Ovis aries: one gene and its partners. Each later gene encodes a partner of the first gene's protein in a complex. Links are inferred from orthologs where the notes say so. Each region holds a gene or a part of one and is shown in the gene's direction. Other genes may lie near its edges.

Evidence for each region.
Region 2: CUL7 (region 1) and CCDC8 share a complex: the UniProt entries of both Homo sapiens proteins name them as parts of the 3M complex. The link is inferred for Ovis aries from reciprocal best matches to the Homo sapiens genes CUL7 and CCDC8.
Region 3: CUL7 (region 1) and OBSL1 share a complex: the UniProt entries of both Homo sapiens proteins name them as parts of the 3M complex. The link is inferred for Ovis aries from reciprocal best matches to the Homo sapiens genes CUL7 and OBSL1.

Annotation. Positions count from the first base shown.
Region 1 is NC_056073.1:16,659,592-16,668,956, reverse strand, and holds the end of CUL7 (cullin-7), read left to right. Parts: intron 1-74; coding exon 75-208; intron 209-533; coding exon 534-716; intron 717-1,015; coding exon 1,016-1,122; intron 1,123-1,231; coding exon 1,232-1,414; intron 1,415-2,583; coding exon 2,584-2,744; intron 2,745-2,906; coding exon 2,907-3,123; intron 3,124-3,234; coding exon 3,235-3,532; intron 3,533-4,227; coding exon 4,228-4,373; intron 4,374-4,495; coding exon 4,496-4,622; intron 4,623-4,710; coding exon 4,711-4,916; intron 4,917-5,166; coding exon 5,167-5,490; 3' UTR 5,491-6,449; downstream 6,450-9,365. Other genes in the region: KLHDC3 (kelch domain-containing protein 3), read right to left, coding at 8,865-9,001. UniProt on the Homo sapiens protein: Core component of the 3M and Cul7-RING(FBXW8) complexes, which mediate the ubiquitination and subsequent proteasomal degradation of target proteins. Core component of the 3M complex, a complex required to regulate microtubule dynamics and genome integrity.
Region 2 is NC_056067.1:53,464,985-53,475,267, forward strand, and holds CCDC8 (coiled-coil domain-containing protein 8), read left to right. Parts: upstream 1-5,055; 5' UTR 5,056-5,742; coding exon 5,743-7,419; 3' UTR 7,420-8,023; downstream 8,024-10,283. UniProt on the Homo sapiens protein: Core component of the 3M complex, a complex required to regulate microtubule dynamics and genome integrity. It is unclear how the 3M complex regulates microtubules, it could act by controlling the level of a microtubule stabilizer.
Region 3 is NC_056055.1:221,489,009-221,499,489, reverse strand, and holds the start of OBSL1 (obscurin-like protein 1), read left to right. Parts: upstream 1-5,552; 5' UTR 5,553-5,830; coding exon 5,831-6,836; intron 6,837-8,370; coding exon 8,371-8,640; intron 8,641-8,733; coding exon 8,734-8,985; intron 8,986-9,150; coding exon 9,151-9,453; intron 9,454-9,632; coding exon 9,633-9,929; intron 9,930-10,481. UniProt on the Homo sapiens protein: Core component of the 3M complex, a complex required to regulate microtubule dynamics and genome integrity. It is unclear how the 3M complex regulates microtubules, it could act by controlling the level of a microtubule stabilizer.

The DNA of each region.
Region 1 (9,365 bases):
GGTAGCCTGCAGTTTCAGGCTGGCAGACTTGGGCTTGCAGCCCCCAACACCTTCCCACCCCCTCCCCTCCCCAGACTCAACGGTGCCCTACGCCACGAGCAGAACTTTGCCAGTCACTTCCTCCCTGACGAAGAGGCCGCCCAGGCACTGGGCAAGACCTGCTGGGAGGCCTTGGTCAGCCCCCTGGTGCAGAACATCACCTGCCCTGGTAACCGCCCCTGCCCCGGCCCATTCACCATCCCGGTGCTCAGTCCCACTCTCCAGTCCCTGCTTGCTCTTTCCTGGGTGACGCCTTTGGCCCATTTGGCACCCGCACTCATTCAGCCTCCCCACGCCCTCGGCTTCTCACAGCCCAGGGGCGCCTCCTTTCCATGTGTCCCGGGTGTCAGCTGACCCCACACAGTCAGGAGGGGCCTTGCTCCCTCCCCTCCTGTGGCAGTCCATTGCTCTCCTCTGCACGCCCATCCAGGCCAGCCTCCCCAGCAGCCTCTGCACACTCGCCCTGCCTTAGCTTGTTCTTCCCCCGCCTCCAGATGAAGAAGGCGTCAGCCCCCTGGGCTGGCTGTTGGACCAGTACCTGGAGTGTCGGGAGGCTGCCCACAACCCGCAGAGCCGCGCAGCAGCGTTCTCCTCCCGGGTGCGCCGTCTCACCCACCTGCTGGTGCACGTGGAGCCCTGTGAAGCGCCCCCCGCGGTGGCGGCCTCGCCTCGGCCCAGTGAGTGCCAGGAGCTGGCTGGGGGGGCATCTCCTTCCTCACTGTCCCCTCCCTGCAGGCGGCCACGCCTCGGCCCAGTGAGTGCCGGGAGCTGGCTGGGGGGCGTCTCCTTCCTCACTGTCCCCTCCCTGCACGCTCAGCCTGCTGCTCGCCTCCTGGTTTGTGTCACCCCCACCGGGGAGCATCATTTCAGTGGGCAGCATGTCCAGAAAGACCCCCTGAGCTCAGCCCTGGATGGGGGACCCAGGAGCTGAGGAGCTGCCCCTACCCTTCCTCTGCCCCTCCCGCTGTGTCCACAGAGGGCAGAAACAGAAGCCATGACTGGAGCTCCCTGGCCACCCGGGGGCTTCCCAGCAGCATCATGAGAAACCTGACCCGCTGCTGGCGGGCGGTGGTGGAGCAGCAGGTGGGCCGGCCAGCCGGGCGGGTGGGCCGGCCAGCCGGGCGGGTGGGCGGGCGGGGCTGTGCCCCCGGCGTGCTGGGTTGCCTTCACGCTGCCAACTCCCACCCTCCAGGTGCACAGCTTTCTGACCTCACGCTGGCGGGATGATGACTTTGTGCCCCGCTACTGCGAACACTTCAGTAATCTGCAGAAGGCGAGCTCCGAGCTGTTTGGGCCACGGGCAGCCTTTTTGCTGGCGCTGCAGAATGGCTGTGCTGGTGCCCTGCTGAAGCTGCCTTTCCTCAGAGCTGCCCACGTAAGCCTCCTGTGTCCCCTGCCCTGGGACCTCTCTCCTCAAACTCTCTCTTCCCCTCCTCAGAGTTGCCCACCCCCTACATTCCCACTCAGCAAGAAGCATGTATTGCTATAGACCCATGTTATCAAAAATCTGGAAAAAAAAAAAAAGGGAATTCCCTGGTGGCCCAGTGGTTAGGACCCTGTACTTTCACTGCTGTGGGCCCAAATTCAATCCCTGGGCAAGGAACTAAGATCTCACACACACACACACACACAAAGATAAAAGTAAAAAATGACCTGCTTTGTGCCATTCTAATATATCTTTGCATACCTTCTTCTACTTGCATGCTTGATTTCACTTAGTTTTACCCACAAGTAGCTAAATGCTTTATCCTGTTTTTTTTGACCCTTACATTAAAAGTCATTTTCATGTTGCTATTTGTCCTCAAATTTTTGCATAGAGCCCATCAAATGGATGTACTGTAATTTCCTCCACCGTTCCTATTATTCCAAGTGCTTAACCCACTCCAGTATTACTGCCTGCCGAATCCCACGGACAGGGGGAACCTAGTGGGCTACAGTCCATGGGGTCACAAAGACTTGGGACATGACTGACCAACTAACACTTTTAACATGTGTCAGGCACTGTGATAAGAGCTGAAGATAGATGAAGACCCTTCCCTCCAAGTTCACAAATCAGAAAATTTATGTGACTCACTTTATCTCAGTGGCCTTGTGTGCTTGTCTCCTTGTGTTAAATTATCATTGTTGGATTTTAGACATGCTAAATGTGAAAATCATGTTTATCATTGTTAGTATTTTTTTTAAATGTTATTTTACTGAATTTATTTGGGGGTGTCATGTCTTAGTTGTGGCACGCGGGACAAACCCGGGCCCCCAGCATCAGTAGCATAGAGTCTTAACCATTGGACCATCAGGGAAGTCCCAGTATTGTTAATGTACACAGTTGTTAATGATTTTAGGAATTTTATAAATTGTTGTTTATAATTGTTGACCAGTTGATAAAGCTGCTGGCCATTCATATTTCCTTCCTCAGACGCTCCTCCTCCCTGTGCTCCCACTCACCAGCTTCATTCTCTCCTTCAGTTTCTGACTACGATCATACCACCCTGAACACACCCGATCTCACCTCCTTCACAGTTTTCCTGTGCTCTCCCCACTGCCCAGGTGAGCGAGCAGTTTGCCCGACACATCGACCAGCGGATCCAGGGCAGCCGGATCGGTGGGGCCCGGGGAATGGAGATGCTGGCCCAACTGCAACGATGCCTGGAAACCGTCCTCATCTTCTCTGGTCTGGAGATAGCCACCACTTTCGAGCATTACTACCAGTGAGTGTGGACCGAGGAAGTGGGAGGTGGGAGGAGGCAGGATGATGGGCAAGGCAAGCCCTCGGGGTCTGGGGGCTGGGGTCTGGGTAGGCTGGAGTCTTGGAGTGGGAGGCCCTGCCAGGCAGCCTCACCAAGACTCAGCCTGGGCTGTGCATGCTGCAGGCACTACATGGCGGACCGTCTCCTGGGCGTGGGCTCGAGTTGGCTGGAGGGGGCTGTGCTGGAGCAGATCGGCCCCTGCTTCCCCAGTCGCCTCCCCCAGGAGATCTTGCGGAGCCTGAGCACTTCAGAGGAGCTGCAACGCCAGTTCCATGTATACCAGCTCCAGCGGCTTGATCAGGAACTCCTGAAGCTGGAGGACACAGAGAAGAAGATACAGGTGGAAGCGGGGGAGGGAACTAAACCAGCAAGAAGAGAGGAAGGCAGAGAGAGGCTCGGGACAGACCTGAGGAGCCGGCTGGCTTAGGGGCACCCTGTGTTCCATCTTCAGGTGAGCCGTGACGCCAGCGCCAGTGGCAGGGGCCATGAGAGAGGGACCGGGGAGGAAGCTGAGCTGGAAGCTGGGGCTGTGGCGGCAGCAGCAGCAGCCGGCGTGGCAGGGGAGGAGGAGGAGGAGGACGAGAGCGAGGATCTCTACTATGAAGGGGCAATGCCAGAAGTGTCTGTGCTCGTCCTGTCTCCACGCTGCTGGCCCACCGCCTCCATCTGCCACACGCTCAACCCCAGAACCTGCCTGCCTGCCTACCTGAGGGGCACCTTGAACCGATACTCCAACTTCTACAACAAGCGTGAGCAGCTGGGCTGAGGGAACTGGGGACCTGGGAAGAGGATAGGATGCTGGGAAAGAACCTGGGCTTGGCGGTGGCCCCTGGGCCTGGCAGCCTGTAGATTTGAGAAGAAAAGACTGGAACTTAGGTTTGGAGTAGGGGTGGGGTGAAACGGCACCAGATCCCGGGACTGTTGCTGTTTCTATTCTTCAAATAATGACCTGGGACTCCCATTATGGTGGGGAGAATGGAGGCAGAAAGCACCTGAGGTCCACAGGTGGTGGTGGGTGTCTGGCTCCTGGTCAGTCATCATAACCTCAGCTCCCCACTGGAGGCTGATCCTAGGCAGTGAAAAGGAGGTGGGTGATACTGAGACCTTGCCCTCAGGGAGCTTCTCTACCAGCTTCAAGACAGTGTTTCCAGTTTGAAGAGAGCCCCAGTCCTTTCTCACTTCGTGACTTTGTCTCCCTTAAAAAAATGGAGAACCCCTCGGAGGCACTGATCACGGGCTGCCTGGCATGGGGTGGGCTCCCAGATACCTGAGGCTGACCCAGGAGGCAGACTCAAGGAAGGCCAAGCTCTGGAAGCTCAGACCAAGAGCCAGTGTCCAGACACACTGGACCCCAGGCTCTGCAGAGGTTAGTGAGGACAAAACTCCAGCAATGGCACGTCCTCGCCAGCCCCCCGACTCCTGCCACCTCCCTGACCCTCCTCAGGTCAGAGCTACCCTGCCCTGGAGCAGGCCCCGCAAAGGCGACTGCAGTGGACATGGCTGGGCCGGGCGGAGCTGCAGTTCGGGGACCAGACACTGCACGTGTCCACCGTGCAGATGTGGCTGCTGCTGCATTTCAACGAGCTGAAGGTGGCCCAGCTCCCCCGCGCCCCCCTGTTCTCGCAACCTGTCCATCCTCTTTCTTCTCTCCACCCTCTCTCTTCCCTGCCCCCCACCCTGGGAGGCCCTGATGCTTCCCTCTTCTTCCCAAGGCGGTCTCTGTGGAGAGTCTGCTGGCGCACTCGGGGCTCCCTCCAGATGTGCTGAATCAGGCAATTGGGCCTCTGACTTCGTCAAGGGGCCCCCTGGACCTTGATGAGACAAAGGACACCCCAGCAGGTCTGTACTTAGGGCACTGGGGCCTGTGTCCTCAGCCGGGGCCAGTGTCCTCGGGGGACCCCTGCCAAGTGACCAGCACTTATTTCAGGGTTGCTCAAGATTCGAGACGGCAGCGAGGAACCCAGGCCTCGGAGGGGCAACGTGTGGCTCATCCCAGCTCAGACATACCTGAAAGCTGAGGATGAAGAGGGCCGGAACTTGGAGAAGAGACGGAACCTTCTCAACTGCCTCATCGTCCGAATCCTCAAAGCCCATGGGGATGAGGGGCTGCACATTGACCAGCTTGTCTGCCTGGTAGGTGGCGGTGGGTGGTGGGTGAGGGGGCTTTGCCAGTTGGAGGGCAGTCTCCAGGAGGTGGGGGCCTTGTGGGGTGGGGGGCAGTCTCCAGGAGGAGGTGGATCCCCATGCGAAGTCTTGGGCTCACTGTGGACCCTGTAGGTGAGTGAGAAGTGAGGTTGGGCCTCGCTGTCCTTGGACTGGGGGCTAGAGTTGGGGTAAGCTGGGTGTCCCTGACCTCTCTTTCCCCTTCGGCCCACCACACCAGGTGCTGGAGGCTTGGCAGAAGGGCCCATGTCCTCCCAGGGGCCTGGTCAGCAGCCTTGGCAGGGGGTCCACCTGCGGCAGTGCTGACGTTCTCTCCTGCATCCTGCACCTGCTGGGCAAGGGCACGGTGAGACGCCAGGATGACCGGCCCCAGAGGCTGTCTTATGCGGTTCCCGTGACTGTCATGGAGCCTCACACTGAGTCCCTGAACCCAGGCTCCTTGGGCCCCAACCCACCCCTCACCTTCCACACCCTGCAGATCCGCTCCCGGGGCGTGCCCTACGCCTCCTGCACAAGCACCCAGAGCTTCTCTACCTTCCGGTAGCCCTGGAGACAGGGTCAGGGTTAGGTAGGGCCGGGGCTTTCCACAGAATAAAATGCAGGAGTTTGATTACTTGGCCTGTGTGGTAACTGCCAGGGATCTGCCAAGGGTGGGGACTTTCCTGGCTGAAAGGAGACAGGAGCCCTCAGCTCCGAGGCTGAATCACGCCATGCCAGGGTCCTTTGGGTGAGGATGGCAGGCTGTGAGTGACTGAGCACCCTCCTCTCAGCTGGGGGAATTAAGTGGACTCCAGGGGTGGGCCTTCTTGGAGGGTATGTGGTTAGAAGAGCTTTCACCTGGCAGGCTGGAGAGTCAAGCCCATCTTGCCACAAGCTGGATGGCTTGCAACTTCAGCAGATCATCAAGCAGGGATCTATTTTCCTTGTTTGTGGAATTGACTGGACACTGCCTTCTGGAGCTAAGGCTGACAGGGAAGGTGAGATAAAGGACCCTTGTGGCCACTGCAGGCCCCCAGGACCATGTTCCACCTGGAAGCTCTAGGATCTGGGTTAGAAGGAACTGCAGCTCCCACGGCTCTTCCTTGCCCCTGTGCACTCCCGCACACCAGTAGCCTTCCCTGCCCATGGGACTGTCTCTGCAGGGCAAACATTCCCAGGCTGTGACTTTTGCTTCCCTGATCTTTAGAACCCTAGAGCTGGTTTGCACACCGAGGACCACATAATGATCCCGTTTATAGTCATGTCCCCCAGTCGGCCAGTCCAGAGACAGAATGTGGTTTAGTGGTTGCCTATAGTTGGGGGGATTGGGAAAAACTGAGGAGTAACTGCTACAAGGTATGGCATTTCTTTTGGGGGTGTTGAAAATGTTAAAAAATTGTGATGGTCAATTCTGTCAATGTATTAAAAAATCACTGAACTGTTAACTTTAAATGGGTAAAGTATATGCTACGTGAATTGTATCTCAACAAAGCTGTTAATAAAAACCAAAACCAACCAAACCTACCCAAACTGGAGCTCAGAGCTTTCCTACATCTCCTCCGCCTCCTCCTTAAGGGGGAAAGTAGCAGTCTGAAAGTTTGGGGGCCAATACAGCCTTGTGGTGGACATTTATCAGTTTTCAACCAGTCTTCACCTGAACCCGCTTCTCATGCCTGGAAACACTCTACCACCAACCTAGGAAGAAGGTAGAGCTCACCTCCCACCATGTGAAACACCAGACACTTGCTTTCCCAGCATCCCCCTTGCAGGCAGGTGACTAGAGGCCTCAACTGGGAACATGTCGGTCTAGAGCAGAGGGAAGTGGAGTGAACCTTTGGCGGTGATCCTGACATCTTCACAGTGACTCTGGCTCTGAACTAGGACCTGGAGTGCTTCTCACTGCTTTGACTTTCTCACTCACTCCTTTTTGGAGCTTCTCTCCAGCCTTCTTAGTGTTTCTGTGAGCCAAGTAGTTCAGTAGTCTTTTTCTGCTTTTATCAGCCAGAATCACTGTTTTGGTATTAAACTAGGACTGATTCACGTGACAATTGGGACTCTACAGTGCTCCCTCACTCTCTCTGGGCCAGGCCAACCATCCTGGTAGCTACAGCCTTCAACTACCAACCACTGGAGAAGCACGTTTTATGCATTTCTTCCCTCAGAACTACATCATCTCCCCCCAACCAGGAAGCATCAAGCAATGAGTCTTAGTCTCTAACTCCACCTCGTCCTTGCAGGCTGCGTTTTGCTATTTTTTTTTGCCTGCCCAGCAGCACAGGGGATCCTAGGTTCCACTCCAGGGATGGAACTCATGCCCCCGGAATTGGAGTCGCTGTGTCCCTACACACTGGACCATCCAAAAGTTCCTACAGCTGCTGCTTAGACGTCAATCCTTCCCATGGCCTATAGATCCTATGATTTATCTAGGTTCCCAGCCTCCACTGTCTGTGATTAACTGATCTTACTGATTCTTAGGATTTACAGATTATCAACTATAGAAAACCACCCTCTCTTCTTCTGGAACTCTTGATTTGTGTCACACCTCCTCACTCTATCCTTCGACTTCTTTGATGTCTTTTCCCTAGTTTCCATTTCTCTGTCCCTGGGCTCCATCTGTGTAGCTTCTTCCCATCTACTTCCATTTCATCTTCCTTTCTAGGTGTGCCTAACCTGCTGCTAAACCATGAAGTTTCTAATGTCAGTGTATTTTTCATTAAACAAAAAACTTTAATCAAACCAATTTTGTCCTGATACATTTTTTCATCAGTCATAGCTCTTCTTTAAACATAAATAAGACATTTTATATTTTTGTATTTTACATTTCCAACATCTCAGACTTTGCTGGTCTGATTCTGTTGCCTGTTGTTCCTAATGACTCTTGCTTTTTTTTTTTTTTTTTCTTTTGTGCTTGTTTTCACTATAAGCTCATATGCCTTGAAATTTTATCTGAAGGAATTCCTTGAAGCCTGGGTTTAAAGTACAATCCTCAAGAGAGAAATGCATTTTGGGAATTCCCTGGTGATCCAGGGGCTAAGACTCCACTCTCCCAAGTTCAACCTGACCAGGAAACTAGATTCTGCATATTGCAACTAAGAATCTGCACGCTGAAACAAAGACCCTGTGAACCGCAACTAAGACCCAGCACAACCAAAATAAGTAGATATTTTTTAAAAAGAGAGGAATGCATTTGCTTCTGCCAGGTATACCTGGAGGTACTCCCAACCAAAGACCACTTTAAACTGAACTGTAGCGTGAAGATACTCCAGTCCACAGGCAGTATGAATTCTCCACCCAAACAGTAATGAGAACCAGCTGCGCTTACCTATCACCAGGGACACTTTCTGCCCCCACCTCCTACCTCCCCTTGCATCTAAAACCAAACCTAAGAAGATGAGTTGTGGGACTGGGTCCCTCTTTGAATGATGGTGTCATCTGTTGGCCTGAAGGAGGAAGGGCCTCTGATCTGACCTCCCACTTTGTAGGAGGTTTAGGTTTACTGTCTACCCACATATGGCCCCTGAAACAGTAGTTCTAGGCCACCTACAAAAGCAGCAGGATAAAAAGATGAGACACGGGAGTGTTTATGAACTGGTTCCTGCATGAAGTCACAGTCCTGGGAGCCACTCAGACTCTGGCCTTCAGCCTCAAGGTTCTTTTCCTTCTGTATCAGAATCATTAAGGCAAGGATGGGAGGAGGACACGAGGACAATGACCCAGATCCAAGCAGACAAAGTGCAGCATGGCAGAAGGCTCAGCTGCTCTTCCTTTTCAGCTCTTAGGCAGTCCAAGAGGCTTCGAGTCATCTCTGGGCCAGGCGAGTTCCAAGGCAGCTGTGACCTTACCGTTGAATGGGAAAGAACAAGAACAGGCCAAGCCCAAAGGTGTCCCCACAGATGCACTTCTCACTGGGGCAGCAGCAGAGCTGAGCACGGATGCTTACTACTCTTTGCTCAAAGGGAGATGTCGTCTGTCCTTGCCTGCATTTCGGCGCCTCTTTCGACTCAAGAAGCTCTCTAGCTTCTTGCTTCGTTTCAGCTCCTTAAACTTCTCAGCCAGGACCAACTGGCGCTGCTCAGCTAGAGGGCAAGGAGAAAGAAAATCAGTAAGCAAAGGATGAAGTCTCCCTGCCTCCCCTTGCCCCAGGTCAGTAACTCTTAACCACTACGCAGGGATATGTGACTCATCAGGGGTTCACTGGTGTGTAAAAGCAGACTTCCACAACTCCACTCTTTCTCAATTCAACCAACCATGAGCTCCTTCTCTGTGCCCAACCCAACATATGAGGGGGCATGACAAAGATAAGTGACACTCCCTGCCCACAGTCTCATTAGGGATATGAGAATGGTTACAAACGACGACTTCCTATTACTACTGTTTCTACTTTCCTCTAAGTTACCATGGGATCCAGCCTTCATGCCTCCCTTAGGCAGCTCCAGGAAC
Region 2 (10,283 bases), on another chromosome or scaffold:
TGCTGTATTTGCTGAGGACCTACTATGTGCTGTCAGTTAACCCAGTAGTATCTGTCTTAAAAGTGTGGATAATTTATATCCTATTCATTCTAGACAGGGATCTGATTTATGTACGTTTAGGACAAATCTAGTGACGGTGCCAAGAGTCCCTTGGACTGTGTTCCCATGGGGACTGTGGCAAGAGTCCCTTGGACAGCAAGGAGATCAAACCAGTCCATCCTAAAGGAAATCAGTCCTGACTATTCATTGGAAGGACTGATGCTGAAGCTGAGACTACTACAATACTTTGGCCACCTGATGCAAAGAACTGACTCATTGGAAAAGACCCTGATGCTGGGAAAGATTGAAGGCAGGAAGAGAAGGGGATGACAGAGGATGAGATGGCTGAATGGCATCACTGACTCAATAGACATGAGTCTGAGCAAGCTCTGGGAGTTAGTGATGGACAGGGAAGCCTGGCATGCTGCAGTCCATGGGGTCGCAAAGAGTCAGACACGACTGAGCGACTGAACTGAACTGAGTGACTGTGCCAAGGTTACATATGTCACCTGGGAGAGAAGTCTTCAGGGACTGCCTGTCAACCTTGCTCCCCACCCCCAACCCTCCACAGGCAACAGGACAAATAAAGGAGCTTAAGAGTGTAGGGCAGGGGACTTGCCTGGTGGTGTAGTGGTTAAGAATCCACCTTGCAATGCAGGTGACGCTGGTTGGATCCCTGGTCAGGGAACTAAGATCCCACATGCTGCCAGGCAACTAAGCCTGCCCTCCACAACTGGAGAGCCCACGCACCAAGAAGCCTGGGGGCCACAACAAGAGAGGAAAGCCTGCATGCTGCAATGAAGACCCAGTGTGGCAAATAATAATAATAAAATAGTACAGGGCTAGAACCTCAGAAACCTGAGTAATTCAAAGCTCTGCCGCTTCTTGGCTGTGTGACTGCCTTTAGCCTCAGTTTTCCTCCTCTGGAAAATGGGAATAATACCTGTTCTGGAGGGGTTGCAGGATTCAAAGAGAAAATACACAGGGTCAGGGGCAAAATAGGTGCTCGAAAAAAATGAATTATCTTACACAAAGGGGAAAGCTGTTGAGAAAAATTGAGATTGATCTGCTTGATATGGAAAGAGCTCAAGACATGCTATTAAGGACATGCTATTAAGTGAAAAAAGCAAGTTTTATAGCACTAGGTCCAGCCCAATCCCCTCACTCATTCATTCAACAAATATTTTGAGCTCCCATCAGCACTGTTCTAGATTCTGTGAATTCAGCACTGAACAAAGCAGACAAATATCCCTGCTCTCATGGGGCTAGTATTCTCATGTGAAAGTGAAAGCCACTCAGTCGTGTCCGACTCTTTGTGACCCCCACAGTCCATACAGTCCATGGAATTCTCCAGAATACTGAGAATTCTCTCAGAATACTGGAGTGGGTAGCCATTTTCTTCTCCAGGGGATCTTCCCAACCCAGGGAACAAACCTGGGTCTCCTGCTTTGCACATGGATTCTTTACCATGTGAGTCACCAGGGAGGCCCAAGAAAATTGGAGTAGGTAGCCTATCCCTTCTCCAGCGGATCTTCCCGACTGAGGAATCAAACTGGGGTCTCCTGCATTGCAGGTCGATTCTTTACCAGCTGAGTTACCAGGGAATCCCCAGTATTTTCATAGGGTGAGACAATAAATAAATGAACAAGAAGATACCAGGAGGAAGTAAGTGATGCGATGAAAATAATTCAGGATATTAAAAATCCTTATGGGGTAAATAACTTCTACCCATGCAAGAAGTTTTGTTTTGTTTTGTTTTCTGGAAAAGTACAGAGGCTTTAACTGTGGTTACTTTGTGGAGAGAGACTGCAGGCTTGGGGCTGGGAGAGGGAGCCATTCTTCATTTTACACCTTTCTGTAACTTCAGCGTTTTCTTAAATGTGTCACTTTTATTATCGTTTTTTTAAAGTGGCAACCAAGTACAGCTGGGTAGAGAAATCTGAACCACGTTTTGTTTTCTTCCTCCATCCTCTTTGGATTTTTTTCATTTCTTTTAAACAAGAATACAAGTGGGAGCTATAATTATCATTTTTTTCTGGGGCGGCTGAAGAATCTCGCCTGCCAGAGATGAAGGCAATCTAAAACACCCAGCAGCGGGACGGCTAAGGGGTTGGCAATTTTTGTAAGAATGTTGAACATTTGAGGGTTTTATTTCTAGGATAATCCTCCACCCCTTCCCCCACCACACACACACGATTTTTACCGGTTACAAAATCCGACGCCTAATCTGCGAGGTCATTCTCACGTGGAAGGCTTGGCTTCTCAGAGTTAGATTCTTAAACCAGCTTTTCTCAACCACAGGTGTCCTAGAGATTTTTAGCTTCCAGCTTCCAGAAAACAGCTTCTCTGGGAAGCCGATTTGGGGAATAAAGTTTAGGGAAGTAATAAGCTGAGAAGTGGGGCTGCCCCGCCCCACCCTCCGCCCACCTCCTTAGAGCCGACCCGAGTGGAGGAGCGCACCTCGTTGCCATGGAGACCGCTGGGCGGCTAGGCGAGAAATTGTGCAAAAGGGAGGCCCGGCGGGGGCTGAGCCCGGCGGCGACTGGGATGGAGTTTGTAAGGAGGAGGAGGAGAAAACCCAGCGAAGCCTAACGACCCGACTCTGCAAAAACAAAAACAACCGGAATGAGCCAATAACTGTGCAAAGGCCTCGCTGAGACCTTAACCGTCCCCCCATTCCCCCGCCCTCAAGCATTTTTCTTCCTTCTTTCCCTCTTTCCCTTCCCATTCTTTTCGCTCCCTTCCCACTTTCCCTAAACATCTGCGTGTTTCCTTCAAGAGTGAAATAAAATCACACGTGGTGACTTAAACAAAATTACACGTGTTTATTTTTATCTTATGTTAACGTGGTTAGTTTACAGATTTTGTTGTTGCTGGGATTTTTCTTTAACAATTCTATTTCGTTATAACGATTCTCCTTTGCAGTCTTATGGATGCAATCCTACGTACTGAAACAGTATCTTGAAAAGGGTCCATGGCACAGAACGGGTTAAGGATTCTTGGGCTAGAAGGCCCTGGAGAGGGTAGAGGTCACCCAATAGTTTGATGGGGAGGGCAGTGCAGTATGACTTCAATAAAATGATGACCTTTGAGCAGAGGGAGATTGCCAAGAGGAGGGGGAAACACAACTCTTTGGACTTGGGGAACAGCTTGTGCAAAGGCCCTGAGGTGGCAATGAGCCTGTTTGTTGAATGAACTGTGAGGAGGCACCTGTGGGCCTCCAAAGTTACCTGGGAAGCTTTGCAAATCCTGGGCCCCAAGTCCCAGGGATTCTGACCCCACAGGTCTGTGGCCACATCTGAGGACCTTCTATTTAATTTAACTAAAAAAAAAAATCTTGAAATCCTCAAAAGTGTAACTATTTATTTTGGCTGACCTGCAGGGTACGTGGAACTTCCCCAACCAAGGATTGAACTTGTGCCCCTGCCATTGGAAGCACAGAGTCTTAACCAGTGAGCCACCAGGGAAGTCCTAATTTAGCTTATTTTAATGAACATTTTCGATTGCTAAAAAAAAATCTACACCATCTAACAGAATATAGAGTGAAAAGTACATATGCCTGCCACTTCTGGGGGGTCCCCCGTCCCCCTCCCCATACACAGCCACTGTTGGCAACATTAATACGTCCCAAGCTTCCCTGATAGCTCAATTGGTAAAGAATCCGCCTGCAAGGCAGGAGACTCTGATTCAATTCCTGGGTCGGGAAGATTCTCAGAAGAAGGGGTAGGCTACCCACTCCCATATTCTTGGGCTTCCTTTGTGGCTAAGCTGGTAGAAAATCCTCCTGCAATATGGGACACCTGGGTTCAATCCCTGGTTTGGAAGATCCCCTGCATAAGGGAATGGCTACCCACTCCAGTATTCTGGCCTGGAGAATTCCAGGGACTAGAGTCAGACACGACTGAGTGACTTTCACTCACTCAGTCATACAGCCAAAGAGAACATGCTCCTGTCTATGCCATTTGGCCTATGCATGTGAACATGCCCCCCCCCCCACACACACACACACGTCAGATTATTTGAGATTCAAATCCAGGTTCCCATTCTTCTTGCTCATGTGACCTTGAGCAAGTGATTTTTTCCCCTCAGCTGTAAAATGGGAATGAGCATCGTATTACCTGTCTCATAATGCTTTGGTGAAGATTTCATGAGTTAATTTGTATTAATAGAGTGATGTCTAGTATTAATACATAGCTAGTCCTGGTGGGCTGCCGTCTATGGGGTAGCACAGTCGGACACGACTGAAGCGACTTAGCAGCAGCAGCAGCAGCAGCAGCAGTGCTCCATAAAAGGTGACTATCCTCAGTTACTTTTTTTTTCATAGCTGCCTAATATTTTACTGAAAGAACCGAGTTTCTACTGATGATCAGGTTGCTGTTGTTTGGTGGCTAAGTTGTGTCCAACTCTTTGCAACCCCATGGACTGCAGCACAGCCAGGCTTCCGTGTCCTTCACTATCTCCGGGAGTTTGCTCAGTCTCTTGTCCACTGAAGCCTGTGATCCCATCCAACCATTCATTCATTCACTCAGAAGTATTCTAGAGCACCTACTGTGTGCCAAGCTCCATCCTGGAGCTGGTACCAAGTTCTCTACCCACCTGTTTGGGTCTATAGGTAGGAAGTGCGGATACCAAAAGTCACGTGATTTTAAAATAGTAATACACCGTGCCAACGGGTTTCAGAGGGACTGCCCCATTTGCACGCCCACCTTCCGGGCTTGGCTGGAACCCGCACGTTTGGGATGGCAGGTTTGGGAACGGCCGCCTTTCCCGGGGAAAGCTGCTGACGTGGGCTTCGCTTCGGCGCGGGGCGATCGGCTAGGAAGACGGGGCCTCAGAGAGGCCCGGGGCGCGGCCACACCCCTGTGGGGGAGGGGAATGAGGGCGTCCCGAAGGGAGTGGACAGCCCCCCTGTCAGTCTTCCCGAGTCCCGGAGTGTAAGATGAGAAGGGGGAAGGTGGGCCCCATCCTGGGGGCCGGCGAGGAGGAACTTCCTGCCCGCGCGCGCGCTCCTCGGCCGGGAGGCGGGAGGCGCGGCAAGGTCAGCCTGGCCTGAGGTGGAAGCCTGCCTAGGAGTGGGAGACCCTCCTGGGGAGCTGCGCCGCGGCCTCCGAGCGCCTCGGCCATATTGAATAGCCAAGGCTGAGCCGCCTTTGTCTGCGAAGTCCTCTCTCAAGTTCCAGGCGCATCTGTGGCACAGGAAGAACCACCGGACAGCCCGTGCGCCCGCAGTTGGAGCCGGGACACCGCGTCTGCAGCTTGCAGTGGGCTGGGAGCCTCAGAACTGACCTCACCCCGGCTCACGTAAGCATCCTGGAAATTGATTCCCACTAATCCTTCGCGGGGAGCGGATCGAGACCGGACTTGTTGCAGAGGAAAGTGGGAAGTGAGACTCTCAGGGCAGCGCTGCGGGGAGAGCAACCTACCCCCCTCTCCCCGCCCAAGACTCGAGGCTACGAGCAGTTTGGGCTCATTGCCCCCAGCCCAGATTTCACCCTGGAGATCTTAAAGACGCTCGAGAAAAGCCATGTGGGGGGCTGGTTCCCCTGGGGCTTCCTCCCGTCCCCCGACTGCCTCATCCTTTGGAGCGTCCCGGACGTCTGCAAAGACGTGGATCTGGACGTCCTCGTCGAAGCTTTGAAGCCCGTGGGGACCTTTAAGAAAATCGGCAAGGTGTTCCGCCGGGAGGAGGACTCCACCGTGGGCATGCTGCAGATTGGGGAAGATGTGGACTATCTGCTCATCCCCCGCGAGGTCCGGCTGGCCGGGGGCGTCTGGAGGGTCATTTCCAAGCCGGCCACCAAGGAGGCAGAATTTCGGGAACGGCTGATCCAGTTTCTGGAAGAAGAGGGCCGCACCCTGGAGGACGTGGCCCGCATCATCGAGAAGAGCACCCCGCATCCACCCCAGCCCCCTAGAAAGTCTAAGGAGCCCCGAGTGAGGAGGAGAGTCCAGCAGATGGTGACCCCACCCCCCCGGCTGGTCGTGGGCACTTATGACAGCAGTAACGCCAGTGACAGCGAGTTCAGCGATTTCGAGACCTCCAGGAACAAGGCTGACAAGGGCCGCAAAGGCGCCGGCCGTGGCAGGAAGGTGCGCAAAATGCCCGTCAGTTACCTGGGCAGCAAGTTCCTCGGGAGCGACCTGGAGAGCGAGGATGATGAGGAACTGGTGGAGGCCTTCCTCCGGCGAGGGGAGAAGAAACCCAGCGTGCCTCCTCCCCGCCGCCGGGTGAACCTGCCCGTACCCATGTTTGACGACAGCCCAGGGCCCCAGCAGTCCAAAGCGGACAGGTGGCGGGAGTGTGTCAGCCAGGTGTCCTGGGGGAAGCTGAAGCGGAGGGTGAAGGGCTGGACACCGAAGTCCAGCCCCGGGGTGGGCGAGGCCAGGCAGGCCTCTACCGGGGTGGAGAGGGACAGTGCATCGGTGCCAGGCAGCGCCAGCCTGGGGTGTAACCTGGGAAATGCACGAGATGGGCGGGTGGCTGAGACCCCCCCAAGGCGATGGAGGCCCCAGATCAACTGGGCTTCCTTCAGACGTCGCAGGAGAGAGGAAACAGCTTCCAGAGCTCAGGGGGGAGAGGCTGCAAATGAGCAGAGGGTGGAGGCTGCAAATAATCAGAGGGGGGAGGCCACAGATAATCAGAGGGGGGAGGCTGTAGATAATCAGAGGGTGGAGGCTATAGGTAATCAGAGGGGGGAGGCTGTAGCTAATCAGAGGGGGGAGGCTATAGCTAATCAGAGGGGGGAGGCTGTAGATAATCAGAGGGTGGAGGCTATAGGTAATCAGAGGGGGGAGGCTATAGCTAATCAGAGGGGGGAGGCTATAGCTAATCAGAGGGGGGAGGCTATAGCTAATCAGAGAGCAGGGCCCATAGCTGTCCAGGAGGCAGAGGCTGTGGATAATCAGAGAGCAGATGCCCTGGCTGTCCAGGGGGCAGAGGCCATACCTGTCCAGGGGGCAGAGGCCCCGGCTGACCCGAGGGCAGAAGCTGCAGAGGATCCGAGGGCAGAAGCCCCGGTTGTCCAGGGAGCAGAGGCTGTACCTGATGGGGAAGAAGCTGGATCGGTCCAGAGGGCAGAAGCTGCCTGTAATCAGAGGGCAGAGACCCCGGCTGTTCCGGAGGCTGACTCCTCAGCTGCCGGAAGGGCCACAGGGGCCACTGCAGGAGCTCAGACCCGGAAACCAGTCAAGACAGTGAGGTTCCAGACCCCCGGACGCTTTTCATGGTTTCGGAAGCGCCGGAGAGCCTTCTGGCACACTCCCCGGTTGCCCACGCTACCCAAGAGAGTGCCCAGGGCAGGCGAGGCCAGGAGCCTCAGGGTCCTGCGGGCCGAGGCCAGAGCGGAGGCAGAGCGTGGAGAGCAAGAGGACCAGCTGTGAGGTGAGGGCAGGGGGGCCACGGAGGACCTCAGCACCTGCCGCAGTGTGGGTCCCTCACGGCATGTGTGACTCTCCACACTTGAAAATGGAGGTAGAGTGAGGGCCTGGCAGTGCCTCTCACGTCTCTACCGAATGTCCCTTTCTTATTAAAACTGTATTTTCTATGCATTGATTTTTTTTTTTCTATCTTTCTTTCTCTTTTTTCCCACATGGCTTGTGGGATCTTAGTTTCCTGACCAGGGATTGAACCCAGGTCTCCCCAGTGGTGAAAGTGCTGAGTCCTAACCACTGGACTGCCGGGGAATTCCCTATGCATTGACTTTTTTTTTTGCATTGATTTTTTTTTTTTTAATACAGACTCTTTATAGTAACCCAAGGAATGTAATGAAAGAAACCCATACAATGGAGTTGCATCCCCTATGATTTTAACTTCCTCAAATGCAACTCTAGGTGCTCATCCTGGAGAAGGGAGCGAGGCAAAGGAGAAATCCCTTCCTCTTCCCCTTCTTCTTCCCCCTTTTGCCCATACACTTTCACTCCCTGCCTCCTGGAACTGGAAAAGAGGGCGCAGGTCAACATGCAAATAAAAATATTTACCAGCTTATTTCTTGGCTCTGGCTTGGCAACTGAAAAATGCTCCGGGGTGATTTTGTCACAGCCTGTGTCCCCTTTACTCCCACCGTCCGTGATGCTTACCCGTGTTAAAGTCACTTTTCCTGCCACTCCCACCTGGGTTCTGCAGACTTGGTGGGTCCAGGTCCTGCAGTTTACATGCTTCATCCCTTCTTGGTTACCACATACAGAAGAATAATTTGGGGAACATGTCCAACGTGTGGGTTCAGGGGCCCTTCACATCAGAGCTGTGAGTTGCTAGAGCAGGCTACGAGGCCCAAGAATCTGGGGCAGCTTGGTCGCTGGATACATTGGGAAAAAATCAGTGCACTAGGAACAAGCCAAAGAACTGGATTGTGGTGCGGTAGTGAGCAATGTATCAAGTTGCTACAGTGAGCTTATAATCGGGTTGCTACGCACCCTGGGAGCTGGGGGACTTCTCTCTGTATTGTCTGTGTCCCCCTAACGCGAGGGAAAACAGACAGCAAATAACCATGCCCCGGCCTCGATAGAGGCCGGATAAAGGGAAATTCTTAGAGGTAAGGCTAAAGCCCAGCTAGGTCCTCCCGACAGGCTGCAGTCCTGGCCTGGACTTCTTAGACGTCATTCAGTAGATCTGTAGGTCTGGGGTGGGCCTGAGAATATGCATTGCTAAGAAGTTCCCAGGAGATGCGGATGCAGTTGGTCTCAGGACCTTACTTTGCAGCTTTACTGGAAAGTCAGTTTTGGGCTGCCTGGCATTTAGAAAACAGGCGGAACTTCAAAGCGGTGGACCCCAAGAAAGGTAATGGTAGTCATGATTTAAGCTCTTGATCTTAGGGCGCCTCCTAGTGGATGAACAGGCCACGACAGCGCTTGCCTAGGTGGACGCTTCCTCCGCAGGCCTAGTTCTCAGCGGGGCGGGGCGTGCTGTGTGGGGCGGAGCCTGCAATGAGGAAGGCGGGGCCTCGTGGGCTCCGGACCCTAGAGAACTTAACAGTGGGAAAAGCTCATCGGTGTCTGGCTTCTCCCTCCGGGCCCTTTCAGGACCAGATGACACTCCCGAGAATCTCAGGATGCCACTCTCTCCGTTTGAGCAGACCGAGGGGCGGGACAGCTTCCTCCTAGGGATCCCAGGACCGGGAAGGGGACACGCTCCCGGCATGTCTGCACGCTCCGACCCCAGGGACCCCGGCAGAGTTCACAACTCCAGTCACGTGGAATGTAATTAGACGGGCAGCCCTGTGAAGGCAGGTGGCCTATTTGGAGACATGGTCCCTCTATGCCCAGCAGGGAATCCTGGCACCCGAGGCTTCAAGAGTTACACATGAATAAACCCCAATCTCCACAGTGGCTTGGGGCTTTTGCACGGGATGTTCTGCCTCCTGAGTGCGCTTCCACCAGGCAACCGCCCGCCTCACCCCTTCCCTCCAGCGCCCAGGGGACTGTCACCCCACGGGAGGTGGGTAGGGGAGAGTTGGTGGGACATCCTGGGGGAGGTGCACTGCTTGGTACTGCAGAGAAAAGCCAACACACCGTATGTGAATTGTCCCAAATTGAAAGTGTTGCTAAGAAGTCCCATTGTTTGAAAACACTGCAGGTCGAGTGTCAGATTCAGCCTGTAGACACCAGCAGGAGGCCTTGGCCCTGAGAAGCTGGTGCGTTTGTACCAGCTGCACTTCAGATGGGCAGGGACTTTCCCTCTCCTTCCCCTCCTCCCCTGCCCCTGTGGCTGGTCTCCACCCCTCCCTTCCCCTCCCCCACCTCTTCTCCCCTCCCCCAGGAGCACACCCCCCCTGCCTCTCAGGCTTCTCTTCCTGGAATCCTCTCCTCCCCACCCCGAGCAGGAGGTTTAGCTTCCTGGCTCAGCTGCATCCTGACACTCCTCTTGCCCGGCTGGAACCTCCATCACACAGGCCAGCCCCCATCAGATTGGAATGAGGAACAGAGGCTCACGGACGATGGCCAGAAGCATGAGTCTGGAAGGGATCAGGGCTCCACCGAGAACAAGAAAGAACGCCCGGCACTGCGGGCCTCCCCTGGTGCCCGGTGTCCGCGGACACACTCGCCCCTGTGCTGAGCCAGGAGACCCAAAGCCAAGCCCGCTGGGTGGGCCCTGAGACCGCCCCGTCACCTGGGGCTGCTGCCTCCACGGGCGCTCATTACAGTTACATTCTTCTTGCGTCAGGATCGCTCGCGCCACCTGCAAAGGAGGGACTGAAAAGACTGGAGAGCGAGCGGTGGGCTGCGCGCAGAGAAGAGCCGGGAATGCA
Region 3 (10,481 bases), on another chromosome or scaffold:
TAACATATAATGAAAAATTATCTGAAAAAAATATAATACATACATAACTGAATCACTTTGCTATACGCCTGAAACTAACACAATACTGTAAATCACTTATACTTCAATTAAAAAAAAAGAACTGCCCCTTAAATGGCAAAATGGTGTTCATGTAGAGAGAGGAAAAGGGCTAGATTTGAGAATTGGAAAGGAAAACCAACAGTGCTTTCTCTCAGCATCTGCCCCCTCCGCCTTGTGTGGTAACTGCACCCTGCTGAGGGGAAGCAGGGAATAGCTTCACCTCATGCTTCAGGCTCTGGACTCCAGGGGTGGGCCTCATGCTCTGAATCTATAACTTGTTCTGTTCCTGCTTTTCTTGGAGGAGCACATGACCCTAATCAAGACAGTCAGGCCACCAAGACCCAACCCGGGACTTCGGTAAGCAGACTCGCTCCTGCAAGACCAAGTGGTGTCACTTGCACATCTGGGTCTGCCCCAGACTGCCATGGACCTGAGATGGAGCCCACCCAGGGTATTTGGAGCCTATAGCTGAATCCTGGGAGCATCTTTGAGCCCCAAATCGAGCTATAATTTAGTCAACTGTGCTTGTGGACTTGTCATAGGCTGCTAGGTTTTTAAAATTTTATTTCTTTGGTCTAAGCCAGTTTGAGTTGAATTTTCTGTTCAAATGGACTCTGAATGAAGATTATTCAGTGTCTCTAATGATTACCACTGGGAACAGGGAAAATCTCTGAAGTGTCCTGCTCTTGGTCTCATGGCCAGAAGTGGATACAGATTTTCTTAGTCACTGTTGGCCCCTCTTAGGTAGGGGTGGACATTTCTTCCTCACTTGCTAAGCTAGTGGAATCAAAGGCCTTGGAGACTCTGGAAGGGGAGGCCTAGATCAGTGACTCCCAAACTTTAGGATTTCACAGATTTCAGCAGTAAAACTACAAAGAAAAATCTTAGGATACAAATTCAAATTGCAAAGTTTTAATTTTGTTAAGTAAAAATCTGAAAACAAACACATTAAAAAAAAAACACTGCTATCTATCGTCACCATAATATCATAAAAGATATGACACTTTGACACACACACCTGAAGGATAACATAGAATACAGGGCAGTCATTTAAAAAGAATACCCTTAGCTTTGTGAAAGTTACTCTGTGCCACTCACTTTTCTCTGTCTCAGATATGTGACACTTCCCTAGCAACACCGATCTGCTAACTGGCCTAGAAGAGAACCCTGTACCCCTCAGTAAAGTGTCCCCAGCATCCCTGGGGGATGTCACCCACATCCCTGGCACAGGAAACACCTGGACAGCTCTGAACATGTCTCAGTGGGGCCCCCAAAGCCGTGATCTCTGGCCATTCTGTAAATCACCTGACCTTGAGCTAGGTGTCCATCAGCTAGGGCAGAGTAGGGGTGGTTATGACACTTGGGCGTAGGCACTATGATGTGTGCATGGCAGACCACCCAGTCGACACATCAGGGCCAACTTGTACAAGGGCCAGTTCTGGCTCCTGAGCTGACAGCACCTATTTGTCCTCCCCAAGCATGGTAACTTCCCACCAGATACACATCCAATTACCACTGGCAAATCCCCATCTCCTATATCAAGTGAGGCTAAGTGACGTGAGACCCCACAATCCCATGCTCCCAGGGCCTAGACCTCACCCTGACAAAAACACTTATCAGAGAAGCTTGAGAAGACACGCCAAGTCATATGCACTATGTCATTTATTGTCACGTTCCTCATGAAACAGGGGCAGGAATGGGGAGAGGGGAGCCTCTGGGCAGAGAGGAGGAAGGGAGCGGGCAGCCTGCCCTTCCTCCAGGCTGGTGACCATGGGGGCTCGGGCATCAGTGGGATTCCCTTAGATGCAAGCACAGTGCTGGGTGAGAAGGTTGGGCACCATCTCATACTTAAAAGAGTAACCTCCATCCGAGGTGGTGCGGACACGTAGGGGCCTCATGGTCCCCGGGAGGGCAGCGCAACAGGCCTGGGCCCCTGGCACCAGAGAGAGGGGCTGGAAAGGGGTAGGGGGCACCCCGGGGACCGGCAGGGGCAGGTCCTGTAGGGTGGGCAGCCCACACCCCCCGTGACAGTAGTAGAAGATGAAACTAGGAGGGTGCACGATCCACCGGTCCCAGCCCAGCTCCTGGAAAGAGATATTGAGGGCGGCTCTGTGGCAGTCGGCATGGGCGGCGGGCTCCTCTGGAGGCCTCTGCAGCAGGCGCAGCGCAGCAGGAGACCAAGGCCAGGGCAGCGGGGGCGTGGAGCGCCGGGCCCTCTCCCCTCCACTGGGCGGCTTGGCCCGTGTGTGGGCCACCAGGAAGGGGGTGGCTTCGGGCCGGGCGGAGCAGGAACAGAGAGGACAACGCAGCAGGAGCGCCAGGACAGGATGGGTCAGCAGAGGGAAGGCGGAGGTGGCCAGGTGCAGGACAGCCCAGCGAGGGGGTGCCTGGCCCAGCGACATGGGCACAGGCGTGGGACCCCTGGATGTCAGTACCAGCAGGCCGAGCAGGGGCTCAGAGCTATTGGTGGCAGTGGTCTCCTGTCTGTCCAGTCCAGTATGGAACCACAGCTGGGCCGAAGTCACCTGGCGGCTGCGTGTGTGCTGGGATGGCCGGAACACATACGTGAAGAGGCCCTCCTCAGCCTCTCCAGCATCTGGCTCATCCCCACAGCTGGCACCTGCAGAGGGCAGAGGGAAGGGAAAGGGCAGCCCCCACCGGCAAAACCTGGAACCCCTCTCCCTCAGCAGGAGGGATCTGGCTGCCACTCATGAGCCTGCTAGGTGCCACACGAAATTCTCTGCCAGAGGCCAGGACCCTCCCCAATCTTCAGGGAACTGACAGAGGCCCCCCATGTGTTCAGTTCCATTCAGTTCAGTCATTCAGTCGCTCATTTGTGTCCGACTGTTTACGACCCCATGGACTGCAGCACACCAGGCCTCCCTGTCCATCACCAACTTCTGGAGTTTACTCAAACTCATGTCCATTGGATCAGTGATGCCATCCAACCATCTCATTCTCTGTCATCCCCTTCTCCTCCCGCCTTCAGTCTTTCCCAGCATCAGGGTCTTTTCAAATGAGTCAGCTCTTCACATCAGGTAGCCAAAGTATTGGAGTTTCAGCTTCAGCATCAGTCCTTCCAATGAATATTCAGGACTGATTTCCTTTAGGAAAATCCCCATGTGTTACTTCAGTATTAAAAGACTTCAAAAATGCCAGCCACTGCCAACTTCTCTCTGAAGTGGTTTTACCAATTAATATTCCCATCAGTGATGTGTAAGATGCCGTGCACTCTCTCCCTTCACCATTGCTTAGAATTGTTTGTTTCTATTTAAATTTTTATCTGATACTATGAAATGGTACCTTGAACACTGTGTACACAGGCATTTGTTATATTACTCATGTCAGAAATACTGCATGAGAAATTCTTTAATTCACTTTAAAAAGGTTAACACCAAGAAGGAAGAGGAAGGGGGTGGGGAGGAGGAGAAAGGATTCAGCTCAGAATCAAGGACAGTGCTTTCGAAGAAAATGCAGTTGGCATCCTTACCCTGACAAGTATATAAACTGCATCAAACAGTCACGAACAGCACAAATTAAAGAACTAGCAATTGGGGCTGTACTGTTATGTGGAACATCTCATTATAAACCTCACAACAACTGATCCATTTGGCAGATGAGAAGTGTTAGTCGCTCAGTCATGTCTGACTCTTTGTGACCCCATCTACCAGGCTCTTCTGTCCATGGGATTCTCCAGGCAAGAATACTGGAGTGGATTGCTATTCCCTTCTGCAGGGAATCTTCCCAACCCAAGGATCAAACCTGGGTCTCCCACACTGCAGACAAATGTTTAACCATCTGAGCCACCAGGGCAAACTGAACGTTAGAAAGATGAAAAGACATTAAACTAAGTGTCCAGGCTGGGATTCTGCCTGATCCTAAAGCCACACTCACTGTGCTGCCTGGGGCCTGAAGCACAGGGAGCCAGAGCATCCTCTCTGAGAGAAAAGTAAGCCAGGTTACAAAAAGGTCCAGCCAGAGGAGGGCTTTACTCACTGAGTGAGTGCAACTGACTGGGGAGATGAGAATTCAAGAGAAGGTAGGTTAGTTTCCCAACTAACTGTTCTCCCGCATCCCTGATATCTTCTCAAGTCTCAGCTTTCTGAGGCTAAAGAAACAATGTTTGGAGCAGGGAGCAAAAAAGCAAAGGGAGGAGGAAAGATGGCAGGAAGGGGTACCCCAGATATCTCTGTCCCTAAACACCGCTGGCCTCCCAGATGACTATCTCACAAATGGCTCCTATGAACCGGGCACTCTGGGATACACCATCTCACTCAATCCTGAAAGGTAGGCATTATGGCGCTTTTCACAGATGAGGAGACAAGAGGCTCAGGAAGGTTTAGTAACTGGTCCACTGTTGCAAAGTCAGTTGAGTGTCAGGTCTGGGATTCAACCCCAGACCTGCCTAGCTCCCGAATCCAGGCTACACCACACTCTTTGTCAGAGTCAAGGCGCCAATACCCCACCCTCATTACCTGCAGCTGGAAAAAGGATGGCCTGGGAGACATCTTGGTCCTCGGGCTCAGAGCCCTTGCGCATGAAGCCCCCCACGGCATGCCTTCGAGGCAGACGCCTGACTCCAGGATCTCCACCTTCCCCAGTCACCGGCGGGGGCCCCAAGGCATCCAGGAACAGGGCCCTCACCTTGGCCAGGACAAGTTCCCGGTCCAGCTCCGGCCCATGACAGCCACGCCCGCCCTGAGGGGCCAGCAGGAAGAGGAGCAGCTGAAGCCACATAGCTCACCTGGCCCTGCCCACCGGGAACCCACACCCTGCCCTGTGCCCCTTCTGCCAGGGTCTGCCCAGGGCCTCCCCACTCCACCCTCCCCATCCTACCACCGCCCTCTTCTACCCTTCTCACCCCAGTCTTCCCCAGCCCTTCCCACGCCCCGCAGTCGAGTTGCCCCTGCCCATGGCATTGAGACCTCCTATCTCTGACGCAGATGTCTGTGGCCCTGAGCCTTATCTCCCACTCCCGCCAGGAATGTGGGGGAGGGGCTGGAGAGGGCTTTCACCCCAAGTGACCTAAACCACACATACAACCCCTCGCCCTCCACACACACAGAATCAGAGAGTCACAACCCAGCACCCAGCACAGAGGTGACACCAGATGGGACAGGAGCCTGTTAACTGGGGGTCTGCCAGGTCTAAAAAGCGTTATTTGTCAGGGAGACAGAGCAAGCCAGCCCCTCGCAGCTTCTGGGGCCCTTTTCAACCCAGCAGCTGCTGGGCCAGTCCTCTCGGGGGAAGCGCCGGGGCGGGGGCTAGAACTGGGGTTAAGGCGGGGGGCAGGGGTCCCGCCTGCTCTAAACTTAGACTGGAGGAGCCGGTCTGGGCTCTTGTCCTCCAGCTGTGTCATCAGAGAATATTTTTGGGATTGGCAGCTGCAGGCTTCTCTGTCACTCAGGCCCGATTTTGGCGGACTGCTGGGGACCTGGCGGCTGGAGGTGGGAGGGAGGAGGGGAAAGAGGCCCTGGCTGTGGGAGGGGGCTGGGAAGGCCGGCTCTCGGGAGCAGGAAGCCAGGCCGCAGGCAGGGGAGGCTGCGGGGCCCCTCGCTGGAGAGGCAAACAGGAAGGACTCCCCCCCTGAGCCCCGGGAATCGCCGCCGCTGCCGCCGCCTCAGAGCCGCAGCTCCCGGCGGAGGGTAAGGAGGCGAGCCGGGAGCGGGCGGCCAGCAGAGAGCCCCGCGGGTCCCGGCGCCTAGTCCCCGGCCGCGCCCCGCCTCCCGGGCTCCCGCCGCCGCTCCCGACCTGCCCTTGCGCCGCCGCGATGAAGGCGGGCTCGGGGGATCAGGGGAGCCCCCCGTGCTTCCTGCGCTTCCCGCGGCCCGTGCGGGTGGTAAGTGGCGCGGAGGCCGAGCTCAAGTGCGTGGTGCTGGGCGAGCCGCCGCCCATTGTCGTGTGGGAGAAGGGCGGGCAGCAGCTGGCGGCCTCCGATCGCCTGAGCTTCCCGGTGGACGGCGCCGAGCACTGCCTGCTGCTGAGCGGCGCGCTGCCCACCGACGCTGGGGTCTACGTGTGCCGCGCCCGCAACTCGGCCGGAGAGGCCTACGCGGCGGCCGCCGTCACCGTGCTGGAGCCGCCGGCCCCCGAGCCTGAGCCCCAGCTCGCCGAGCGCCCGCTGCCGCCGCCCGGAGCCGGGGAGGGCGCCCCGGTGTTCCTGACGGGGCCCCGGTCCCAGTGGGTGCTGCGGGGGGCGGAGGTGGTGCTGGAGTGCCAGGTGGGGGGCCTCCCCGCGCCCACGCTCTACTGGGAGAAGGATGGGATGGCGCTGGACGAAGTGTGGGACAGCAGCCACTTCTCCCTCGAGCCGGGCCGCGCGGGCGCGGGCGCGAGCCTGGCGCTTCGCATCCTGGCGGCTCGGCTGCCCGACTCGGGCGTCTACGTGTGCCACGCCCGCAACGCGCACGGCCACGCGCGGGCCGGGGCGCTGCTGCAAGTGCAGCAGCCCCCCGAGAGCCCGCCCGAGGACCCCGACGAGGCCCCCACGCCCGTGGTGGAGCCGCTCAAGTGCGCGCCCAAGACCTTCTGGGTGAACGAGGGCAAGCACGCAAAGTTCCGCTGCTACGTGATGGGCAAGCCGGAGCCTGAGATCGAATGGCACTGGGAGGGCCGCCCGCTGCTCCCCGATCGCCGCCGCCTCATGTACCGCGACCGAGACGGCGGCTTTGTGCTCAAGGTGCTGTACTGCCAGGCCAAGGACCGCGGGCTCTACGTGTGCGCCGCGCGCAACTCGGCGGGCCAGACGCTCAGTGCCGTGCAGTTGCACGTGAAAGGTACCACGGCGCCCCCGGGCGGCCAGGGCCTGGGGAGGGGCCTCCAGCGCCCTCCCTGACCCGCCTTACTCCAGCCCCACTCAGTGCCTAGAAGACAGCGAGGAGTAAGGGAGGCTGAATATTAAAATGCCATTTCCCACCTCCCTCCCTCCCATCCCCCAGGGATTCGGGTTTAGTACGTCTCCAAGGTACCTGCTCCAGGAACTTCTTAGCAAGCTCTCCAAATGATTCTGAGGCAGATGGCAGAAAACCACTCTTCCATAAAGGGCTTTAGGGAAGGATTGAATGATTGACCCAGAGGGACCTACAACTCTTGTAGTTCAATGTTTCTCAGCCTCTTTGTTATTTCACCACCCATTCCCCAATGGAAACCCCATCGGGGCCCCAGTGTATTATATAAAAGGATCATTTTATGGGTGTAAATTTCTAAATCCAAATTTGTAACATATATTTATAAAGTCAGTCAATGAGAACAAGGGAGCTGTCTTATTAAGCACACACATTTTAACCATTCATAACTGGGTCTAGCTTTTGAGCCCCCCATGGGGAAATCGTAGCTTCAGGTGTCACCCTGACAAACTCCCGATTCACACCAAAGAGAGAAAACTTGAGGGCAAAAAAATGCCCCCCAATTTTTGACTATTCTGTCATTAGACTGCTTTCCAGGTTTGCAAGAAGAAGAAGGTGAAGGAGAGGAAATTTATATTTCAAAGTTGAGCCCCCAGCGGTGTTTAATAAATGCTTACATTGCTCATAACTAGAAAAGTCAGGGGTGAAAAACAGGCCAAATTCACATTGGAAGTTAAAGCTTCCCATAATAGGAGTTCATTGCAACTCACGGCATACCTTCACTAGTTATTACCCAACTCTTTCCCTCAGAGAAAAATAGTTGGCAAATCTCCCGAGTCCATCCTGGCACGCAGTCAAGCATGTGGCACCTGTACCACGGGTGGTGGCCTCTTGGGTACAGTTTGATGTGCACAAACCGGCCAGGCAGAGCTGAACTCTCACCCCCTGAGGACAGAAAAGCCCAGGATGAAGGCCAAGATTCCCAGAGCCAAGTGATAAGACAGACATGTTCCCCTAGCAGTCCAAGTGACCCCACTGGCCGTTTCTGTTATCATGCTTTCTTTTTGTAAAATGCAGTTTTAAAAGTGGTTGAAGTACTTTCAAAATGAAGTTCAACTCAAACCCTTGCAGAATTGTGTGTGGTGCCCATGAGGGTCCCCGCCAAACATTTTGAAAATCCCTGATAATGGCCCAAGCCCCTCCATCTCTTTCTCTGCTTTACAAATAAACTGCGGCCCAGCATCATGAAAATGGCCTCGGTCAAGGTGATGTGTTAGGCTCAACGAGAATTCGGGTCATCTGACCTCCCTTCTGAGGGTTTCTCTGAGTATACAACGACACTAGCTCTGGGAGAAGAGCAAATGGCCCGAGCTACCCTGGGTTTAGGCAGTGGGTGACAGAGGAGGGTCTTTCTCCCGGTCGGGGCCCTCTCCAGAGCCTTCTCTGGTCTCGCCCTTCTCCACAGAGCCCCGCCTCCGCTTCTCCAGGCCGCTGCAGGACGTGGAGGGCCGGGAGCATGGAATTGCGGTGCTGGAGTGTAAAGTGCCCAACTCGCGCATTCCCACCGCCTGGTTCCGCGAGGACCAGCGGCTGCTGCCCTGCCGCAAGTACGAGCAGATCGAGGAGGGCACGGTCCGCCGCCTCATCATCCACAGGCTGAAGGCGGACGACGACGGCGTCTACCTGTGCGAGATGCGCGGCCGTGTGCGCACCGTGGCCAACGTGACGGTCAAAGGTCGGCTGGCCAGTGGCGGGGGCTGGGGGAGACCGAGACAGAGGCCCGCCGGTGCCCAGTCCACGGGCTCATAATCTCCCACCCGTGTCTCAGGGCCCATCCTGAAGCGGCTGCCTCGGAAGCTCGACGTTTTTGAGGGCGAAAACGCGGTGCTGCTGGTGGAGACTCGCGAGGCTGGGGTGGAGGGACGCTGGAGTCGCGACGGAGAGGACCTGCCGGCCACCTGCCAGAGCAGCTCGGGCCACATGCACGCCCTGGTCCTTCCAGGGGTCACCCGAGAAGATGCCGGGGAGGTCACCTTCAGTCTGGGCAACTCCCGGACCACCACTCTGCTTAGAGTCAAATGTGAGGGCCCCAAAGCCTCTAGGCAGCCTCCTCAAGGGCTGGACAGGACGGTCAGGACAGAAGGGTGACCAGATGACAGAGTCTGGGTTGGCAAAGTTGACTTTAGGTTGCAGGGCTGTGGGAGGCTGGAACAGGGCTCAGATGCAAACCCTGCCTCTGTCTCAGGCATCAAGCACAGTCCCCCGGGACCCCCAGTGTTGGCCGAAATGTTCAAGGGCCACAGGAACACGGTCCTGCTCACCTGGAAGCCTCCGGACCCCACCCCCGAGACCGCCTTCATCTACCGGCTGGAGCGGCAGGAGGTGGGCTCGGAAGACTGGGTACAGTGCTTCAGCATTGAGAAAGCCGGGGCCGTGGAGGTGCCCGGGGACTGCGTGCCTACCGAAGGCGACTACCGCTTCCGAGTCTGCACTGTCAGCGAACACGGCCGCAGCCCCCACGTGGTGTTCCACGGGTCTGCTCACCTCGGTGAGTCAGTCCTGTCAGCCCAGGCTATCAGTGGCTATACCTGAAGTCGTGCCCTCCCCATCACCCTTCCTCCCTTCCCCTGGGCTCCCCGCTCTCTCTTGCTATATGCCATCTAGCTGCCAGTCTCTGCCCTCTGCCAGCCGCCTGGTTCTGATGGCCATGCTCTGTCCCCCTCTCAGTGCCCACAGCTCGCCTGGTGGCTGGTCTGGAGGAGGTACAGGTGTATGATGGGGAAGACGCCGTCTTCTCCCTGGATCTCTCCACCGTCATCCAGGGCACCTGGTTCCTTAACGGGGAGGAGCTCAAGAGTAACGAGCCAGAGGGCCAGGTGGGGCCCGGGCCCCTGCGGTACCGGGTGGAACAGCGTGGCCTGCAGCACAGGCTCATCCTGCAGGCCGTCCGGCATCAGGACAGCGGGGCCCTGATCGGCTTCAGCTGCCCAGGTGTGCAGGACTCAGCCGCGCTCACCATCCAAGGTTAGTACTGGTGGGGACCACGGTGGGCAGATAGGGTCAAGACGTAGAAATCCCATTAGCAAAATGAGGCACACGCTGTTCATGCTTCTCACATCTGAGCCAGGAGTCAGGAGCATCCTAGGTGAGCTCAGATAGAGCACTCAGGGATCCAGAAGTCCAATTTCAACCCGTGCTTAGTCGCTCAGTCATGTCCGACTCTGCAACCCTGCCAGGCTTCTCTGTCCATGGGATTCTCCAGGCAAGAATACTGGAGTGGGCTGCCATGCTTTCCTCCAGGAGATCTTCCCAACCCAGGGATCAAACCCAGGTCTCCTGCATTGCAGGCGGCTTCTTTACCGTCTGAGCCACCAGAGAAGCCCATATAGGGGACTCCTTGTTATTTTCACCAGCATCATATCCAAATTCTCTAGGGGTACTTTGTGGTTTGCAGAATTCTGTCATGTTTGTCATCTTAAAGACACAGACCGTGGCCCCTAGTCCCTGACCACTTCCTGCCCTACTGTGTGATGGCTAACACTATCTGAGTCACTTCCTGTGTGCCAGGCACAATCC